Linked DNA regions of Caenorhabditis elegans. The protein of the gene in region 1 purifies or fractionates together with the protein of each later gene. This does not show direct contact. Each region holds a gene or a part of one and is shown in the gene's direction. Other genes may lie near its edges. The genes, in order: ska-1 and ska-3.

Region 1 (3,709 bases):
CAACGTAGATTCTTTGAAACTCTGGAAGGGCGTCGGATAAACGATGAAGTTGCCTGTGCTGGAGACAAAGAACGAGAAGGATTTGATCTGACGACTACTGGGGATACTCTGTTCGAATGTGAATGTGGCTTCAAGTCGTGGAATGGGAACCGAACAGCATCACATTATCACAAATGTCGTCGGTCTATAAATGTATGATTGAATTTTGTGTCAAGAGTGTGCGAAAAAATCTACAACGTTTTTTTTTCGGCAAAATAATTTAATCATTTTTCTATATTTCTACAGTAGCCTTCGAGTCAAAAGTTACATTAAAATTTCAAAACGGGCCATTTTGTAGATTTTTACACTTCCTTATATATGACTTGTTTCAAAATATAATGTTTTTATTGTAGGATATCGAAAGAAAACGGGAAATTGTCCGGCTGGGAAGTGATCCGAAAGAAGAACTCGAACTTTTCGCTGTATATCCACAACCAACAAACACTGAAGCAGAAACTGAAGTACGTTAAAAACAATCGTGTTAAACTGGAAAGTTTTTTTCAGGAAGCAACACTTCGAAAAATTCATTTGGAGAGAGGAGATCCTTTACCAATTCTTGAAGATATTGTTTACCAGCCAATTGATGATTTACCACTATTGTACGTAATTTCTTCTTCCTAACTCTATATACAATACATTTTTTACAGAAAAATGCTCTCTAAAAACCACGACAAAAGTTTGGAAATTATGGAAAAGTGCACGGCGAGTGCCGTCACTACCGAAGACTGATTCGATCTCGCTTGATCTCCTCATTATGATACTATTATTTGTATCGATTTTTCTCCACGGTTAAAAACTCTACTTCATTATGTTTTCCCATTGAATCACATTTCGATCTTTTCCATGCTTATTTTGAATGAATTACAAATGTCTTGAACAAATTGCTGTACATTTATAAAGCCATTCACCACGTTGGCCGAGGACAACGTGTTGGTAATCGCAAAAAGTAGAAATGATAAGCTATGAGACAAAGAAGGGTAAAAATTATTATTAAAACTGTGCATCGTAGACATGAAGACGAGTTAGGTTGTACTTTTATTGTGTTTATTATCTGAAAAATAATCATTTTATCAGAAAATTGAGATATTTATGACTCCTACTTTTTTATTTTCTGTTGGAGATCGAGTAAAATGGCGCATTCGAATACTTTGAACTGGTGGGGAGCTTGTTTTATTTATATGATACTGAGAATTAAATATATTTTTTATCTCTTTTGAAATAAAAACAACTCACATTTAAGATTTTGCAGATTTTATCTGGCTTTACACATGTGGACGGAACACATTCTGCGTCAACAGAAAGAGCATCTTTGAGCAATTTTTCTGCTTCGTTGCGAACCTGAAAAATTAAAAGATGAGAGAAACTGAATATTTTTCAGTGTTATAACGCGTTATCGCATCAATTAACTCACGTCCTGCCCATTTTCAAAAAGACGAACCACTTCTTCAGCTTTTTCAATAAATAAATCAAATTCGTCTTTTTCTTCCATTTATCTTCATTGGGTTAGGTATAAATATGATGTTATTTTGTAGAAAAACGTTTCTAACAAAGATAAAAATCTAAATTTGAAAATTCGCTTTTATGGTCGTGGCCTAGAAATTCGAACTGTGGCTGCTCTATCGCCCACGGATGTGTACTCCTCTCGAAGTATATCTGAATTAAAACGGCGCGAATATGACTCATCGTTCCTTGCCGTCTTGTCTTTATTTATTTAATTGTTTTATCTTTTTAATTAGCTATAACTTCTTAATTAAATTGGAACAGATTTTTTTCTTGCTCTACTGCATTCTTTATTTCTTAAATCCAGCAGAAACGGCCACTGCTTCCTTTTTCCCTAAAATTAGACTTTATCGAATTTGGCTCTTTTCCGTTGATTCAATTTCAATTGTTGATACATTAAACATATCTCTAATACTACAAAACATAACATATTAAAAATTAAAAATTAAAACATTACCTGTTTCAGAATGGAATCGTTTATTGATCGGATTACCGAAGAGACCGATGAAAATTTCCGCATATGTCGAGAAAATATTCCCAATTTTGAAACAAGTACGTTTACTTTTCTTCACAACTTCTCGCATTCTTCATTATCACTTCTTTCAGCAATCAGCCCTCTCTTGAATACAATGAAGAATATCAAGTTGTTACTAGATGATGCAGCTTTTGATCAACAAAAATTGGAAAACAACTGTGAAGAAACATGTATGAACTGCACCAAAAGTCAATTGAATGATTTTCTCGGAATCAAAGTTGAAGCTTCCACGATTGTCGATGTGAAATCACAATTGGTACCTCAAAGTAAAGAATCATCTGCTCTTGTCGAAACCAATGAACCGAATGAACAAGGATTATCGTCTAAACCGAAAGAAAATGATATCAGAATTGTGCCACAGATAACGGATGAAGAATTCAAAACAATTCCAAAGTATCAACTAGGCCGGTTAACGCTGGAAATGATGAATGAAATAGTGAGCAAAATGGATGATTTCCTGATGAAAAAGAGCAAAATCCTGGGGAAAACTAATAAACAGCTGACAAGGAGCGATAGGGAGGTTTTGGACAATTGGCGAGAACTTGTAAGTTTGTTTTACTTGTTTTATTGAAAATAAATCTATAATTTTTCAGGAAATGAAAGCAAGAAAGAGACTTCCAACAACGTTATTCTTCATAGAAACCGACATTCGACCAATGCTCCAAGACCGTCTTCGTCCATCATTTGCCAAAGCAATTCCGTGCCTTCGTCACATTCGTCGAATTCGAGAAGAACGATGCGGACCGTTGACTTTCTATTATCCATAAATTCCTTACGATATTTGTACATTTTTCAAACTGGTCTCAACGTATTAAATTTCTCTGTCAAATAGCTAATAAACGGATTTCTACTTCAAATGATCAAAAAAATTTATTCTTCAATTTTTACACCTTTGTTTTGGTGAATATATTCTACTTTAAAAATATTATTGTTCTGATTAGAAATATGAATTTTTCAACATTTTTAAAATTTATCAGAATGTCATCAGCTCGACCAATGGCTCCACCACCACCAGCTCCAAAGCCAGGACGAGTGAAAGTTTATCGAGCACTTTATGATTTTCAAGCCAGATCTGTAAGCTTTAATTTGAAAAAAACAACCCAATTATTGAATAAATTCAGGCTCAAGAGCTGACATTCAGTGAAGGAGATCTAATGTACGTCAGCGACGAGCAGCCGAACAAAGATTGGTTCCAAGCAAGCATCGGAGGCAAAAAAGGATTGGTTCCAGCTAATTATGGTGAATACTTACAGCACAATCAGGAATGTTTTGCAAAGCTGCGGCGCGGTTCGATGAGAAGCGTAGATTAATTCACATGGTTTTACAGTTTTTAGTTAAATTACTTGTTTTTGAACTTTTTTCGTCAGTTCATTAGTACAAAATCATTTTTAAATGGCCATGCATCAAACCGCATCTCAATTTTGCAAAACCGTCGTTCCTCCTCTTTTATAATTCGAAACTGCACCGAGTTCATCGAGATTTCTAGAAATTCCAATATTTATTTTTTCAGTGATCAGTGAGAATGTGGAAGAGCTCCCGAATCCCCTACATGAAGCTGCTCGACGTGGAAATATGGATATGCTGGCTGAATGTCTTCGAGAGCGGGTATCCGTCAACTCCCTCGATAAGTCCGGA
Region 2 (3,821 bases), on another chromosome or scaffold:
TGGAATTTTTATCGACTTTACAGTTTTTCCCTTTTTTTAATTTGTTTAATTTTTTTGTTTTAAATTTTGAATAAATGTATTTATTTTATTAATAAACAAAATCGAGAAAAAATCCGTAGCAACAAAAGTTTGAAGTTACAGTACTCTTTAAAGGCACACATCAGATTTCATTAAACAAAAAAGCGTGTCGAGACCTATTTACTGACGCACAAATCGCGAAATTTGAATAATAATTGAAAACTCACATTCGTTTCGTGTTATGCCAAATAATACATTCCGTATATCCACATCCGCTATAAATCAGGAATTGAATAAGTGTTAACGTCCATCCAAATGGTTTCATTCCAGGTAGTTTGAATATTAATTCCTGAAATATTTTTTTTCTTCCAAACATTTTTTTATGTAAACTTCTAATCTCACCTGCATATACCCGTATCCTATGTACAAAATAAATATTGCTAAAGAAAGAAGAACAAATTGAAGCCATTTTGGTCTGAAAATCATGAATTCACAAATTAAATCGGCTCGAGATTTCATAATGTATTCTCGATTTTATCGCTTTTGAAATTCCGCTTTAAAATTGAAAATTAAAACTCACTTTCTGGCAATATTAAACCCTAACAGATGAATTGGTTCTACATCCTCTTTGACATGACGTGGCAGCATATGAACACTACAATCAGAATGTATTTGAGCTGCAGTCATTTGAAAGAGTGGGTGGAAAGTGCGCAAATAAAGGGAAATTGAGATCTAAATCAGATAGGCATTTGTTCAGATTGTCCATTGGGGAAAGCCTGAACCGCGACTACGTTCACGGCTTTTGAAAAGGGGGTATCGATCTTTTTGCGCGTTGGCAATAGTTTCTGCGCTACGTCTCTCTATGCATACGTTATTCATACCGAAATAAAAATTCACCGGCGTGATATATTGCAGAACCTTTCCTATACTTTCTGCTCCCGAAAATATTATCCCAACAACTTGTGAATGTGTACCATTTTGTAATTAAAGACGAACAAATAGGGAACAATAACAATTTATTGGAACAACGAACAGATTAGTTCTTGGAGGCAAAGTAGTCGGTGAGGATGGCACGTCCTTGCTCCTCATTTCCCCAGTTGGTGACAACGGCGGATGAGCATCCAACGACCTTGCGGGCCTTTCCTTCCTTATCGTACTTGCAGAGTCCGCAGTACTCTCCGATGATCTTCTTATCGGCGACCTTAATGAGTGGAATCTGGTGCTCGGCGCAGAGGGTCTCGACAAGCTTGACGTATTGTGGCTCGTCGCAGTTCTCGGCGAGGACACAGAAGTGAGCCTCACGCCTGAAAATTGTTTGTAAAATCTTTGGAACACATACAGCATGATACCAGTACACGTGTGGCAGAGTAACAACTTATCTACCAGCTTATTGGGGTCACATCGATTCTAGAACCGGCGACGTTGAAAAATAAGTGGAACTAAAATACAAACTAAAATATCAATTACTTACTTGTCAAGAGCCTTGCAGGTCTCGTGGAGTCCCTTGGCGAGTCCATCAGCGTGGTGGGCAGCGCGAAGAACAGCTCTCAAAGCTCCTTCCTTGTCCATTGGTCCCTGGGCGACGGCGGCTGGGGCCACTTGAACATCTCTAAAATTATCCAATATTTTAATAGCCTTCATAAAAACTTAATTTTGCTTTTAAGACAAGGAATCTAATTGTTCGAACAACTTTGGAACCGATACAGCTTCAAGGCCAGTACCCGTGTGGCAGTAGAACGGTTTTTATTGCACACTACGATAGGAAAACTATGACTTCAAAATCTTCCGATATAATTGGTAGGTGCAAGATTTTTCAGAAAAAAACAAAAATAACCTACCCTCCTGCGTCAGACATTGTTGTTTGCAGCAAGAGTCCTTGATGCTTACCTGAAAATTAGAAATTTCGACTCGTTAATATTGTTTTCACAAAATATATTTCAAGATTTGAGAAAAAGAAAAAAAGAAAAGAAAAAATTGGGAAAATCAACGGAAAAGAGGGAAGCATGAAATGTTTCTGTATCACTCCGCAGCATGTCTTTGAGTCGCGGCACAGTGAAATGTGCTATAGAGCGCGCTTGCCATTTGTCGATTTACGGAGACTTGCACGCGGGAAGCTTTGAATTTCAACAGTTTTCTGTATTTTCTCAGTCTTCATCAAACATTCATTAGCATTTTTCAGGCAAATAAAGGAGTCAAATGGCTAACGAAACGCTGGAACATGTTCTTATTTACTTTTTGGAGAAGCTAAAAGACGTTCGATGCAACCAATCTCCAGAATTACTTCAAAAGCTGACACTCTCACAGTACAAGGCAAGTTGTCGAGCTTTCAGTCCATTTAAATTATTTACATGAATTTCAGACTCTTGCACAATTGGATGTGGACATGCGAATGAGACTGACGCAGGAAATGGAGAGCTATGTGGCGGATCATGTAGAAATTATGAAACTCGAGCTGCAATTGAAGAACAAGAAATGTGCGCTCGCTGGAAAACTGAAACAGTTGGGGACAACGTTTGATAAAGCTATTGTGGAGACTAAAGGTGAGTTGCAATAATTTTTTCACGAAAAAATAGAAAAATTCAGAACGAAACGAGCATTTGCGGATTGGCAGCATTGATTTTCTGAATCCCGTGGTTGAGAAAGTGGAAAAAATAGTTTTTGCAAAGCCAGAAATGCCACAAATATCAGTCGAACAAGGATCAGTTCTCGGTGAATCTGCGAGACGTCAACCGGAGCTTGTCTCTGTAATGGCTTCCATAATGAAACCACCAACATTTTCATCATTGGTGATGACAGGAAGGACTGAAAAGAAAGAAAATATTCCGGAGACCAAAAGCTACAGTCTTGATGATTCTTTGATAAACGGACATGGTAAATTGAATTAGTTTGTCTTTGCAATAAAAACATGCCATTTCAGACATATCAATGGTGAATACATCCAACGAACGACGAAAACTGGCTTTTGATGAGTTGGACGATGAAGAACTGCAAACTCCAGCAAGAAAACCACAAAGAACTCCATCCAGAGCTCCAGAACGGAATCCTCTTGATCTATTTTCCCTACAAGCACCGCCCGTCTTCACATCTTCAGTTGGTCGAGCATTCAATCAGACAAGGGATTGATTTTCTGAATTTTTGATACTAAATATTATTTTATTTATCTGTACAAATGTGGATATGAATACAATTTTCTGAAAATGAAATCAAATGAATTTGAAAATCCAACCAGTTTTCAACTGTGAATATTTTTAGAATTTTCGCATGTTCTAGTCAACGTTTTAGACAAAGTTTCAGCAATGGAAGAAGAGGAATGTTTATCACATTCATCACCATCAACCGATAATTCTCTTGAACTTCGACTGCAACGAGTGACTGCGGAAAACATAAAAACAGTTCGAATCCTCGTTTCAAGCATATTTCCGGTGTCGTACAGCGACAAATTTTATCAAGAATGTATGAATAACGAATTAACAGGAGTTGTAATACGAAACGGCGAGGCAATCGCCATAGTTGCTGTAAAGCCCGAGAATTTCGAAACAGGACGCGTACTTTATATAAGAAGCTTTGGAGGTTTGTAAATTTTTGAGAAATTAAGATTTTTTCATTTAAAATTCAAGAAAAATGTTATAAAATTAAGTTTTCTAAAAATTCTAAAATATGGTCTCAAAGTTCAGAAAAAAGTCTGGTTTTAAAACAAAAATCAAAAATTAAAAAATTAAGATTTAAATTGATTTTCACTAAAGTCGTTTTTTAGAAGATCTTCCATTTTTTTCAGTTAAAATTTTTTCGAAGCTATTTTCTAA

The links.
Region 2: the proteins of ska-1 (region 1) and ska-3 purify together in Caenorhabditis elegans (affinity purification with mass spectrometry, with the first as the bait; one study listed by BioGRID). This does not show direct contact.

Annotation. Positions count from the first base shown.
Region 1 is NC_003279.8:10,472,732-10,476,440, reverse strand, and holds ska-1 (SKA complex subunit 1), read left to right. Parts: upstream 1-2,005; 5' UTR 2,006-2,006; coding exon 2,007-2,091; intron 2,092-2,145; coding exon 2,146-2,618; intron 2,619-2,667; coding exon 2,668-2,841; 3' UTR 2,842-2,928; downstream 2,929-3,709. Other genes in the region: row-1 (C2H2-type domain-containing protein), read left to right, coding at 1-192, 393-500, 544-638, 687-768; Y106G6H.16 (Dynein light chain), read right to left, coding at 944-1,090, 1,140-1,223, 1,273-1,377, 1,451-1,528; Y106G6H.14 (Osteoclast-stimulating factor 1), read left to right, coding at 3,053-3,148, 3,196-3,313, 3,585-3,709.
Region 2 is NC_003281.10:5,677,382-5,681,202, reverse strand, and holds ska-3 (Spindle and Kinetochore-Associated protein homolog), read left to right. Parts: upstream 1-2,197; 5' UTR 2,198-2,214; coding exon 2,215-2,328; intron 2,329-2,377; coding exon 2,378-2,558; intron 2,559-2,601; coding exon 2,602-2,889; intron 2,890-2,935; coding exon 2,936-3,141; 3' UTR 3,142-3,234; downstream 3,235-3,821. Other genes in the region: pst-2 (Adenosine 3'-phospho 5'-phosphosulfate transporter 2), read right to left, coding at 246-367, 421-493, 599-705; rps-12 (Small ribosomal subunit protein eS12), read right to left, coding at 1,055-1,322, 1,490-1,627, 1,857-1,873; F54E7.9 (N-terminal methionine N(alpha)-acetyltransferase NatE), read left to right, coding at 3,315-3,588.